Xenopus tropicalis: one gene and its partner. The protein of the gene in region 2 purifies or fractionates together with the protein of the main gene of each other region. This does not show direct contact. Links are inferred from orthologs where the notes say so. Each region holds a gene or a part of one and is shown on either strand. Other genes may lie near its edges.

Region 1 (6,976 bases), on a different chromosome or scaffold from region 2:
GCCCTTTCTGCACTGGTGCTAGATGTAAGCATGAGAGGGGGGAGTAGGAGGGTTTCAAATGGGCATTTAGTTACACCATTGTTATTATAATAAGAAACACATCTCCCTATTAAATCTGTTAAAGCCATAGCTGGAGGTTATCATCTCCACCTGCTATTGGCATCATTCCCACTGTTCCTTCCCAGGTCATCACATTACTATACAAATATAGTGTCTGTAGGTGTATATTTAAGGTGGCCACACACGGACCGATTGTAGCTGCTGATATCGGTCCCTTGGACCAATTCAGCAGCTTATTGGCCCGTGTAGGGGCAGGAACGAGGGGAATGCCCGACCGATGGGGCAGGTTAAAAGATTGCCCCATTGCCGCCATTGTTGCCTACATGTTCCCCGATATCACCCACCCGTAAGTGATCTTCACGTGTATGGGCACCTTTAGTGTGTTGAGTTTTCCTATTGTTCCTCCATGTGTGAAGCCCAGGGTACTTGTCCCGGCAGCTGTATGGCTGGGATCACAGTGATAAAAACTGACTCAAGGTGAAGAAATTTTGAGCGTATTGGACTGTGGATGTTTGTGAATAAGCCCATAGCAGGTATAAAAGTGCAAAATGCAAACATAGATATACTACTATTCACACACATCTATAATACAGTTGTGTTTTTTTCTTTCTAATGGTATTAATATTTGCCTGTGTGTGGCTTCTGTCTGTGGCCCATGGTCTGAATTTATTTTGTGGTTGGAGTAATTGTGTATCTGTGTTGCCAAAACATCAACCAAACTGCTACTGTGCCAGTATTTGTAGGTATTTATTTAATAATGTTTAGCTTAAATTGTTAGTGTCTGTTAAGTAAAACATCCTGAGAAGATGGCTTAACTAAAATCAGAGTTTGGAATCTGTCTGTGGAATTTACATGAGTCTTTCCCTGTGGAAGAATGCCAAGGCAAAGTTCTATTTTTGAAGCTATGGAGAAAAGGGGAAAGTGTAACATTTTATAGATATGGAGCTAATGAATTGACTAGCTACCCAGAGGAGAAGGTTAGGCAGGGAGGTCAAAATGCTGTTGTTGGACCCATCAACCACAGAGAGTATATATCCCCTGTGTAAGTAATGGAATGTCCATAAATGCCATATAAATTTATGAGGCATAAAAGAGACCAAAAAACACATTGGGTATAGGACAGTGGGGTTCTAGAAAATTTTGCCATAAAGCATCCTTCTGCTGTTGTTTTATGATAAGCAAAAAGAAGGTGCTGGTTGTAAACAACTGCAAAAAGATCACCATAGAAGATATGATGATTTTAAAGAACAATCATAACCAATAGAAGACAATGTTACTAGGCAATGATCTCTAGGGTAGAATCTGTTTTTGCCCTGGTCTTTGTAGTGGGAGAATTTGCAAGTAAGAAGTCTGGCTGGATACCAAGTTATGCATGGGGGGGGAGAGAAGTAGGGTGATGTAAACTGAAGCCAAGCTCCTTGGAAAGTGTGAACATATTTGTGGGAAAGATGAAACCTTGCCGGACCTTCACACGGAACCAATAGCTTGACACCGAACCTTGAGAATCTCTTTCCTTAGAACCCTTTCATCTAGAACCACCTGGAAAGTTTGATCCATTACCTTTAAACTGAACTTTTTCTTTCCTCTCCATATGGATCCTTTTAAGGAACAGTAACATCAAAAAATTTATATATTTCAAAGAAATTAAACTATAATGTACTGCTGCCCTGCACTGGTAAAAGTTTTGTGTTTGCTTCAGAAACATTACTAGAGTTTATATAAACCCTGGTGTGTAGCCATGGGGGCAGCCATTCAAAAGAAGAAAAGGCACAGATTATATAGCTGATAACAGATAAACCCTGTAGAATACAATGGTGTCATATCTTATCTGTTATCTGCTATGTAACCTGTGCCTTTTCTCCTTTTTTCCAGCTTGAATGGCTGCCCCCATGGCTACACAGCAGCTTATTAATATAAACTATAGTAGTGTTCCTGAAGCAAACACCCCAGTTTTACCAGTGCAGGGCAACAATACATTATATTTCAATTACTTTAAAACACTTTCATTTTTTGGTGTTACTGTTCCTTTAAGAGCATATGTAGCCATTAATATAATATGCAACATATACAACCTGTTCAGAGTATATGGACCTATATGGAGCTGTCAGAGTATATAGACCTAAATGTGGATTTATTTTCAGTCTCCAAAAAAGGTGCAACTTTTACAAACCACTATAGAGACACCCCACTTTTTTGCAAAATACAATATCATTATGCACTTTCTTTTACCTTTATATTACAGCTATTACCTTCTTCACTTTGTTTCTGCACCCCTCCAGTTCTTACTCCCCCCCACCCACATTCGATGCAAGCCAGTAATCGCAAATGTGATTTTTTGGAGTTATAGATCATTAAAAATGGAGGAACACAGCCAGGACACTTTTGTTTTAAACTTTGTAGTTTTCCTATTTAATGTTTTTGAGGCATCCCCTACACCAATCCCATTCTTCACAGCAAAAAAACAGAATGCACATTTTCCAACATACAAATATAAAAGCAAACCAGATCTTCCTGCCAAGCACACATTTAGCATATATGGCACCCCAGAGATATATATCCCAACCCGGCATGAAAATTCCTCCTGTTTTTATAGACCATATACACAGCATTAAGCATAATTGTAGCCCAGAATTCATACTTTCCTGTGCCAATGGGGTGTCATAGCTAATAACAGAACTGTGCCAGTCTGTAAATGGATCTTAGCACAATATTAATTAAGAAAATTCCTTTACAAGCTAAAGCATTCTTTGTTTCTGTGCATTCTGTGCATTTTACTGCCCCTACTATGAACGTTCCCCTAGCAACCATACACACAGTGCACTGGCACTAGCAGAGAAAGAGTTAACTCTTTTATTGGTCTTAAAATAACCAGTGACAGAGAAAGCATAAAACCCAACCAATGCCTTAGCATATTCTTATGATCTGTGGGGGTGGTAGCTGGGGCCTGTAGCGGATAGATGTCCAGCAATATAAAAGCCAATCCTAAAATCCTGACATTATCCAAGCCAGAAATACAAAGCCTGCCAGTTTTAGAGCCAGCTCTTTAAAACCCAGTTCTTGTTCTAAATAAGGTTCGACAAAGCCAAACTGATATTATGTCCGTGGGAAAGCCCTGAGAATCTGGTATCAGGTATATTAACCATCTAATAGCAACTGCAAAGCTAAAATCTACCCTGACTGTTACCATATTATAGTTACCCTTTAATATTAGTTACAAGATAAAAGCAAATAATTCAATAAATCTAACACAAGGTTAAAACTCTTTCATCATAAACACAATAGGATTACTTGTAGTAGCACAAAACACCTCTTATTAAGTGCTATTGTAGCAGAGGAACTGTATCTGTAGGGCACAGTAAAGTTTAGTTCAGTCCAGGCAAGCTAGAGGTGATGAAAGTTTCTTTTTGAACCTCACTATAAAGCTGTGACATTTGCCACTCTCTGGCTCGGGTCTTGGTGACAAAGCATTCCTTCCTTGATGTCCCTGGTGATGGATGATCAGAGAAGGAATGGTGACAGAGGCAGCATGTCATTCATATCTGAGTAGCCACAATGTTAGAGATTTGTTCGGCAGTTCTGGGTAGAGTTGCCATCTCTTATGACAGAAGACCCCACTGCCCCCTTTAACTCCAAAGACTTGGCACAATTGCACCTCTTGTCTCCTTTTTTGTCATTTTGTAGGATGCAGATGGATACAGCCTTTCAGTTCGCACCCCCCCAACCTCAGGGACACTTACCATCTTGGCAGGTCACCCCAAATGCCTGCAGAGGAGAAGGATGGCAGGAGGTATCTGTTTCCTCTTCTGTACAGACCCCCAAAGCTTTTCTACAAACAGTCCCCCTCTAATTTGTACTGTGCCCATTCACACACCTGCTCCCCCTTCTGCCCTGATTGGATGCCACTAACTTAAAACACCCCCACTCCCAATCCCATGCCAGCTTACCCCTGATTGGAGGGAGAAGCCTTTTACCAAATTTAGCTTGTGCTGGGGGGGCAGTCAACACAAAAATAAAAGACCAGGTAAAGAGGGAGGGGACACTGATGAGTGTGAACACATGGTTCTCCTCTTACTGTAAATAGTTAAAGGGAATTTCCAGCACTAAACACCCCCCCACCCATCCATTCCCTCCCCACGAGAGACTTCCATCCCCCGGATTTATGACAAGGGCTGCAAGAGCCAGAGAAGAATAGTATCAAATGATCCCCCCAGCCCACCCACCCTCCCTTCACAAGGAACCAGATTAGAAGGAGAAGCAGCTGCAAACGTGACCAGCAGTGGCACAAGAAGCAGGGCAATCCATTGGCAATTGCACTGGCAGGCAAGCTCCATACAAACGGCTTTGGCAGAGGCAGGAAGAACTGCAGGACAGGCATAGAGCTGCCTTTCAGTGGGTGCAAATAGGAGTGACTGAACTGAGTCATACTGTAGGGACCAGCTGACCAGCAGTTTTAAGTTGCATCAGTAACACATGTGTGGCCCAGCCAGTGGCCCTTCAGCTGTTGTTGAAGTACAATTTTCAGCAGCCAGTGGCTGGGAGCTATAGTTCAATACACACTAAAGTGCTGCAGGTTAAACAGTTCTACTTTATGCAGAACACACAATGGCTGCTTTTTGGATAACGAAAAAAGCAGATTCTGTTCAGTGCCAGAAAGCTAAACCATTCAGCAGGACTTGCTGTGACATAATTAGAATTTGCTTGACCCCACATTTTATAATAACTTTATCTTTTTTTCTGTATGTTCATCTAATCAGTGCTAGAGTAGGCCTCCTAGAGTCCACCAGAGAACCTGACACCCAGGAACGATTGTGTATAATCTACAGCACTTAGAGGCTTCTGGGAATTTTGGAACAAGAGTTGGAGAGCTGCAGACTGGGCATCATCAACATAAAATCCAAAAGTGTGTACCTGGCCTATACTAACATAATCGCCACCTAATGTCTCCACTTACATCCACTCTATACCACCCCCCTTTAGTTGCTGTCCCACCCCAGCTTTAATTTTTATTTTTAAAAGGTGGCAACCCTACCAATAAATACATAATGCAAAATATGCAAAGCTTTTGCATCTTGTATCACGCCTGCAAGCCCTGTGCATTCGGGCAAATGCCAGAGGGGCTGCAGTAAGATGCCATAGACACCACCAGCCCACTATTTTTTGGGCTGGTGGGGGTTGTTTGGGCCTCTCTGCCCTTGAAATGCCAGGGCCGATTTTGAATCTCAGTCTGGACCTGGACCTGCATACCTATGAATACACCACTGCCTGTTTTTGGCAGCACTGTATCCATAAGGTCATGTTGTGTGCTACATCTTTCAGACATGCAAACTAGGGAGTGCCAGTGGGATGCAAGGCAGAAGGAAACTCTATCCATACTAAATCCATATGGCCTGGATGGGTCCTATGGTACATAGTTTTGCACCCCTTGGGGCTCCAGCACAGACCTGGACTGGAATTCAAAATAAGCCTGTCATGAATCGGCGACGCTCCCTACCTGGCGTGCGGCGGCGTCCTCCCTCCCGGCGCGGCAAATCCAAGATGGCGGCGCCCAGGGCTCCACGTGGGCGCAAGGACGCCGGCGCGATGACGTCACGCGCTATGGCGCAAAGGACGCCAGAGACCCAGGTTCAATGCCCGAGTATAGCTCAACATACCTATTGTGTTCCTGGGTCTCTAATATTCTCATCTGCTTTCCTGTTGCTGTTTAATTGCCTGTTCCTGACCTTGAACCTTGCTGCCTGCCTTAAGTGACCTTTGCCTGAACCTGACCTCTCTATTGGATTATCCTGCATCTGTACTTCGCTCGGACTCACTGGAAGCGGCCTTCCTCCTTGATCCTGACTTCACCCCTCCCGTGGGTGCCGGAGGCCCCCGCTGACATTATACTCGGGCCATGGATCCCGAGGAAGCGGTACCGGACGTCGGAAGAGCCCTTCGCGGGCTGGCGTCCCGTATGGAGGCGTATGAATCCCAGCAAGTCAGAATTGGGCAAGTACTTGATTCCATTTTGTCCCGTTTGCCCGCTACTCCCGCTGTCGCGGAAATTCCTCCTGCTGTGGTGGTTCCTCTGCCAGCGATGTCGCCAGCTCGTGAGCCACGAATACCTCCTCCTCCGCGCTACAGTGGCAATCCGCAGGCCTGCAGGGGATTCGTGACTCAATGCCAGATTCAGTTTGAGTTCCAACCTTCCCAATTCTCCTGTGAGCGAGCGAAGGTGGGCTACGTTATGTCTCGTCTGGAGGGCAAACCACTGGAATGGGCAACTTCTCTCTGGGAGAGTCAGTCACCCCTGACATTTGATGTGAAGGAATTTCTACAGATGTTCAGAACCATCTTTGATGCCCCTGGTCGGGTCGCTACTGCCTCTTCACGCCTGCTGCAAATCCGCCAGGGCAGTCTCGGTGCCAGTGAGTATGCCATAGACTTTAGAACCCTCATGGCGGAAACTTCCTGGAATGAAGAGGCTTATAAGGCAGTCTTCTACCAAGGCCTATCGTCCCGTCTGAAGGATGACCTGGTATCCAGAGATCTACCTGACTCCCTTGAAGATTTGATTGCTCTCGCTATTAAGGTAGACACTCGCCTTAAAGAACATCAGGCTGATAAAGAGCGGAGTAAAAAGTCTCATCCAGTCCTGGCTCCGCGCTTCCAGAACCCTATGATACCCCCGTCTTCTCCGCAGTTTACCACTTCCCCTTCGGAGGAACCCATGCAACTTGGGAAGGCTCAACTATCTGCACAAGAGAAGCTTCGGAGACGCCTTTCCGGCCTATGTCTGTACTGCGGCGGACAATCCCACTTAGCGGTTTCCTGCCCTGTCAAGCTGGGGAATACTCCTGCTTCAAGTAAGACTGTTGTTTCTTTTGCTGGTAGTATTGTTCCTAAGTCAGCGGAACAATCTCACCAATTTCATGTTCCT
Region 2 (7,009 bases):
GCAGATTTATGTAAGTTGCATATGAACTGGCCCAGTGCCGACCTAGGAATAGCCCTCAGCATGCTCACCTCGTGCCACCCCAACCCAAACAGTGAAAGTGTGGTACTGAGAATGAAGCAACTTGAACCTTAAGGACCATTCCCATAGCTTTGCCAAAAGAATAGGCAAATATGCGGTGGCAGGTTTTTTTTTTTACCCGTATAAGCACCTGAGGGCCACCCCGCGAAAGCTGTCCCCTCAAGTACCTATACATTAAATACGGCCCTGCATGTGCAATACTTTTTCTATAGAACTACCTAGTTAGTATGCCTTGTATTGTTGGTAATTATTGTTGGTATTATACTGTCCATGGATGGGGAATTTCTATAAGCTAACAGCATTACAAGAGACAAATCTTAAATTGATACTGATTCTATTTCCAGAGCAGGAGCCGGCTGTGTCTTCTGTGAAGTTGCCTATGTAATAGACTACAGACCAGACCTTTATATTCAAAGAAATATTAGATATATAATAGATCTACATAATAGATCTGTAAAGGGGAAATATATCCCACTTATTTTGACTTTCAGTGGTCTTTAACACTACATTACAAACAATACTACTTCCAAAAAAAAATATATTAGTTTTTCTTTTTTTTGACACAGATATACCTAATTTATAGACTGAAAGGAAACCATAAAAATCTGTCTTTGCCTGTAGGGACAATTTTTTCCACCGCCTTGGGCTCACACTGATCAAGCCCCTCCCTCATCTTGTCCCATTGTAAAATTATGAATTCTGGGAAATTTATATTTGCAAGTTTAGGTAGTTTTGTGGAAAAGTGCATCTTTTCTACAAAACCCCAGCTAAATAGGATCATGTCAAAGGGAGTATATTTTCCTTTATGAATACATCTATGTACATAATGTCTCCACCCAAGCAAAGACATGCTTGTAAATATATGTGCAAGTCTTTGAGGTACCAGCTGTGCAAAATTCCCTTGTTTATTTCTATATGGTTTATGCACATATTGATAGTAATTCTGAGGTTGCCTCCACAGGGAGCAATTCATTTTTAACAGGAAAAGATACAGTCAGAGAACTACAAGGATATAAACTACTCCATTAACGTGGTTTCCCACACATAAATCTAACTTTTTTCAAGATGACAGTCTATTTTCAAGCACAAATACACCAGAACTAAAGAACTAGAAAATATCTTTGCTAACAGAAAATATTCCTGCTGTCCAGATGTCAGTTCTGAAAGGACTTATGCAGTGTAATACCATCTTGACTATGCAAGTCTTCTTTTACAGTTTTCCCCACCTAAATTGTAACAAATTAATATTAAAACAAACTCTCTTACCTGTTCTGATACTGATCACTAATCTCAAAGTACAATGAGGTCTCAGCAAACATTACAGATGCACAGGCTAGTATTTGTAGCAAGGCTGCATCTGCAGTTGCTTGTTTGTTCCGGAGCGCTGGGGACTGGACGCGCAGGACATTTTCACTTTTTTTTTTTTCTTTTTTTTAAATCTCATGTAAACCCTAGATGCTTCAAAACAAACAAGCTCACCAAGGGCTGAGTATGAAGATGATGGCTGGTTCATGGGCCTAGGGCTGTCCTTTCTGAAAAAACAGCCCTGCAGATATTTAAAAAGGTCAGTTCTCAAGACTGAGCTTCTAAGGACCCAACAGAAAGCTGACATCCAGGGGCCATTCTAAAGACTGTTAGATATAAAATATGCTAAATGGTACTGATGTAAATTGCCTCTAAGGTAGACTGTACAAAAGTGGGGCCAACAACAAGATTCCATTGTACTCTTGCAGGCCAATCCAACCCTTGTATATAAGGGTCTATTGCCTGGAAAACCATTATTATAAAAGCTACAAAATGCAGCACTGCTATTTCCCAAAAGTGTTTTTTTTAATTAAAAAGAAAAAAAAATCTTTTGTTGATGTCTAATTTGCATTTTCTGTGTAATAAGACATTGCCTTGAACTAAAAGTTAACTAAGCTGGTATAAATCCATTTTAATGTTAAAAACTTTTACTGTATGTAAAACCCAGGTAAATATACCTATATAGTGTTAATACAATTTTTTTAAGGCAAATGTAACATAAAAAGTACTATGAGGATAGCGGTATTCTGGATTTTCAAGCTATTTAATCATTTACATGAAAGTTTGCTTAAAAAAAAAAAAAAGGTTTGTGAACAATTTAAAATTTTCTATATTTTTATACTAAAACATCATAAACTAAAACATCATCTGATTTTCAAACAAGTCCTAAAAGTAGATGAAGAAAATTTGGCTAAAAAAATTGAAACAAAAAGTCTTATATTTGGTCATGTATTTATTGAAAAAAATTATCCCTTAAGATATATGCATGTGGCAAAAGTAAGTGAATCCTTAGGATTATCATAATTTGAAGGTGAAATCGAAGTCTGGTGTTTTCATTCGTGTGACGACAATCTGGTGTGAATTTCAAAAACGGGAATCCATCAAAGACTGATCACACAAACACATTTGTGGATGTGTATCATGGTTTGAACAAAAGACATGTCTGAAGACTTTAGAAAAAAAATTATTGATGCTCATAAAGCTGGAAAAGGTTACAAGACTACCTCTAAAGAGTTTGGACCAATCAACAGTCAGACAGATTACGTACAAATGGGGGTAATTAGACCATTGTTACCCTTCCCAGAAGTGACTAAACATCAAAAATAAATCCAACTGCAAAGTATCTAATAGTCTGAGAGGTTACAAAGGGACCTCTAAACAACTGAGGGCCTGTCTCACATTTGCAAATGTTGGTGTTCATGCGTCCACCATTAGGACAACACTGAACAACAATGGTGTGTATGGCAAGGTAGAAAGGAGAAAGCCACTGCCACCCCCCCAAAAATATTATTTTATTTATTATATATATATATATATATATATATATATATATATATATATATATATATATTATAGTATACTGGAAGAATGTTTTGTGGATGGATGACGCCGAAGAAAAAACTCTACATTCCAGCATTAGAACCTTATCCCATCTGTGAAACATCGTGGTGGGGGCATTCTGGTTTGGGCCTGAGTTTGCAGACACTCACAGTTAGTGTACACACACATGCACACGTATACAATTTTTTAATGATATGTGTAATGTTTTTATAGTACGGTCTCTGGACCTGCAGCCTGGCCATGACTCTCTTTCAGTTCCTGTCGCTCTACAGCAACCAGATACCCCATACAATTGTGTGACATGTTTTATTAGATTGTACCTAGATGGTGTTACATTGTTATTACATTTTTTTTTCTATTATCTTTTTTTTTCCCAGTTTGACAATTTACTGAGTGTCCTCATTGGTAAATTATTGGCATTTAGAGGCTTCTTGTTTTGGAAGTTGAATTACACAAAACCACAAAGAGATTTAGAAAGCTTAGGTTGTTCTAAAAACATTATTTCTAGTTTTCCTTGATAAAGCTAAATGCCCCTGAAGAGAGAAAGAAAACAAAATGCTCAAAAAAAGAGAGTGAATGAAATTATAAATTCTGCTGGCACTTGCAGGATTAAACCAAAGTCAATGGCTTAATCTTTTATCAAGGAAACAATTACACTAACGGGCAGATTTACTAAAACTCTAACCTCATTTTTTTTCTTTTTAAAAATTTAAATAAACTAATTTCCACGAATATACTTAAAAGTCTGAACTGAAAAAGTCTGTGCAGGAAAAAGTTGTAGAAAAGTTGCAAAACTGCAATCTTTTCTAATTGTCACATAAAAACCTCTACTTTTTTTGCACAAAAATCCAAAACCTCTAAAGTTTTGAACCAAATGAAGGATCCTCCAGGGAAAAAAGGGACATCTGCCATAGACTTCTACATGATATTGTCAGGTTTTATTTGGCAAATTGTCAGATTCAGTTATTTAGCCGTTTTGACGCATAGTAAACTCTTATTCTTTGACTTTTAGCACAAAAAAAAATCCAAATCAGAAAAAAAATCTGACTGTTTGTGAATTGCCCCCTAAGCATTTGCAGGCAAAATATGGAACTTCTTCAATTTTGTCTGGATAAATATGGTTCAACATGGGTTGTTGTTATACCTATATAAGTCGTTAGCGTGTGACCTTTGTTTCTCCTGGCAAAAACACTCACCCAAATAGTTGCTACGGACCACATCGGGCTCACTCAATCCAAGAGAGCGTTTCCGTACATCCCATATTAGACCAGAATAGCACCGTGACATAGTCCAGTTCCTGTATATCCTTTCAGGCTGGCTTGTCCAACTAGAGAGGATTTAAAAAAAACAAAAAAAGTTACTTGTTTTATCTGTTATGGATCTCCAATCATGTTTAGCACTAGCCTGTATCCATAATACAAATAATGCATGGCACGACAGTGTCATTTGTTAAACAGCTTATGTAGCGCCTGAGATGTGGTACGCCATTCACTTATGTTTCTGCTTCCTGATTGGTTTACTTACAATGGCAATCGGATTTCTTAGCGCAAGGTAATAGCGACTCGTGACTAAACAAAAGCGCAGATGCTTGACTTCATCGGGAAAAACTGTGCACGACTACAGCTTAAAGGAAGGCGGCCACTCTGCCTGTTACAGGCTCCCGCTGTAAAGTTCTGTCAGGCGCTCAGTGCGAGCAATACACAGGGCCGGAAGCGGTAAAGGACGCTCTGACAGCCATGTATCTTACCCACTTCTCCGACCAGCGAACCGTGTTTGTTTGTTTGTGGTGGAGGTGATGAGTGGCAGCAGCTGTAGCAGTGACAGAAATAGAAAAGAGCCTAGGATGGAAATGGAATTGCTCAGCTCAATACGTCACCATGACCTGTAATATAGGAGGAGTTACAGAATCTGAATGGGTGGGGGAGCTGCAGAGTTAGTTGGAGAAAATATTGCTCGAGTTCGGGCTGTTTGTATTTGGTTGCAACCAAAGCACAAGAGATTTTTTAGTAAATTGTGGGATATAGCTCCTTTTACTTTTGCGACTTTCATAAACGCGGGAGGGTTCTTATTTTCCTTTGTGAGGCTATAATTGGCAATACGATGGCCATGACATAAAAGATAATGACAGATGTAGCAAATTCTACACATTGTTCGCTTTAATTTGTATAGGAACCACGCACAAGTGTTGCTAGGAGTGCATTTTCCCTTCTTAAAATGTGCTGGATGGTAAAAGCTGTCACATCTACACTTCTCCTTGGTTCCCAGTGAAGTCTCATTATAGGGCTTCTTGCTTAATAAGGGTTTTTTGTTTTAGGTATAAATGTTAATGGAAGCAGACTAGAACTGCAATGATATAATGCTGCAATATTTGTCTTTATTGGACACTACAGGGTTGATTCACTAAAGTGCGATAACGCTTCTCACATGCTTTTTGTGTTAAAATTGATGTGCAAAAAACGTGCGATTCGCTAAAGTATTATCGCATGCATTAAGTCGCATATCGTATGCGTTAAATAGCGCGCAAGCGCATGCATTAGTATTATTTCTGCGAGCTAATTAACGCAATGCGGTAAGCATTGCGTTAATTAGCTCGCAGAAATAATACTAATGCATGATTCACAAACACTTAGGGGGAGATTTACTAAGGCACGAACGCTTTGAATGCGTCCGAATCTGTTTTTTTCGCAATGATCGGTATTTTTGCGACTATTTCGTCGCCGTCGCAAAAAACGTATTGTTGCGCCAAGTACCAAAGTTTCGGATTCATTCAAGCTTCAGTATTTTGACTTTCCTTTGGCCAGGTTGGAGCTGCAGAGTGCCATTTATTCCTCTGTGAGGCTTCCAAAATCATGCAAAGTCGGAAAGGTTTTTTCCGCCGTTTACGATCGTTCAATACGATAAAGTCACGACGGCGACAAAAAAGTCGCGAAAAATAGGAAAAAGTTGCGACGGCGATGAAGAAGTCATGAAATTTTCGTTTCCAATCCGAATTTTTGCTATTCGGGATTCGAATTTGTGCTTTGGTAAATGCCCCTTAGACACGCTAAATATCGCATTACTCTATGCAAAAATTAACACCTACAGTTCATGAGCTTTTGGCAACACAATATGGAGTTTGCAGTGCGATTTATTCAAATATGTGTTGGCCCTAGAGTGATGCATCCTCCAGTTTGCAGGGAAATGGTCATTTTAAAAAAAAAGTACTTTTACGAATGTAATGGTGTGTATGGCTAATTTGGCGTGCGCGTGATACGTAGCACACGTGCATGAATTAGCACTCGCGACAAGTAGCACGCTGCGTTAATTAGCGCGCGTTGCGTCAAATACCGCACGAAAATAGTCTTCGCAACTTAAATAACGCAAACAGCATCGCGTCTAAATTAACGCAAATATACTTTTAGTGAATTGTGCGTTAAGACACGAAAAATTAGACACGATAAAATTTTTAATGCATGCTATAAATAGCGCTCGAAATATCAACCTTTAGTGAATCAACCCTTACATGTTTTGATGTGTTGAAATGTTTTTCATGATATCATTTTGTAAAAAGAGGGAGCTTTTTTCTTTACAATTTTAAAACTCTTGCCACCACCAAGCACAGCTCTGTGCCACTAGCCCACTGCTTTATTATAAATCATGTGGAGGAACATAGTAGGCAGCTTCTGTGCATGTATCTGCTTAAATTGTTGATTCCAAACAAGACAAGGCACTGGTGCTTTGGGAGACTCATGTTAAGACATTTATGACCAGGAGGCAACGGTATCACTATTATATAAAACAATGAGTGAAGTGGATCCTACACCCAAAGCACATTTACAAAGGGATTATCTTAGCCTGGCAATTATAGACCAGTAAGTTTGACATCTGTGGTGAGCAAGTTATTTAAAGGCTTGTTAAGGGATCACATTCAAAATTATATTCGGGAGAATGGTATTATGAGCAGTAATCAGTATGGCTTTATGAAGGACAGTGTAAAGGTACCTGGTGGTCTATTGGGGCGGCGGGGATGCCCGCTGCCTCCTCCGTTGCGGGGACGCCTGCCTGCTCTTCCTAGGTGCGCGGCCCT

Evidence for each region. Proteins that work in one complex are often made in the same cells at the same time.
Region 1: the proteins of dcaf6 (region 2) and tnnc2 purify together in Homo sapiens (affinity purification with mass spectrometry; 3 studies listed by BioGRID and IntAct, with this or other methods). This does not show direct contact. The link is inferred for Xenopus tropicalis from reciprocal best matches to the Homo sapiens genes DCAF6 and TNNC2.

What each region holds. Positions count from the first base shown.
Region 1 is NC_030686.2:19,703,645-19,710,620, forward strand, and holds the start of tnnc2 (troponin C, skeletal muscle), read right to left. Parts: upstream 3,867-6,976; 5' UTR 3,801-3,866; coding exon 3,798-3,800; intron 1-3,797. UniProt on the Homo sapiens protein: Troponin is the central regulatory protein of striated muscle contraction. Tn consists of three components: Tn-I which is the inhibitor of actomyosin ATPase, Tn-T which contains the binding site for tropomyosin and Tn-C.
Region 2 is NC_030678.2:72,900,059-72,907,067, forward strand, and holds the start of dcaf6 (DDB1- and CUL4-associated factor 6), read right to left. Parts: upstream 4,687-7,009; 5' UTR 4,468-4,686; intron 4,271-4,467; 5' UTR 4,231-4,270; coding exon 4,140-4,230; intron 1-4,139. UniProt on the Homo sapiens protein: Ligand-dependent coactivator of nuclear receptors. Enhance transcriptional activity of the nuclear receptors NR3C1 and AR. May function as a substrate receptor for CUL4-DDB1 E3 ubiquitin-protein ligase complex.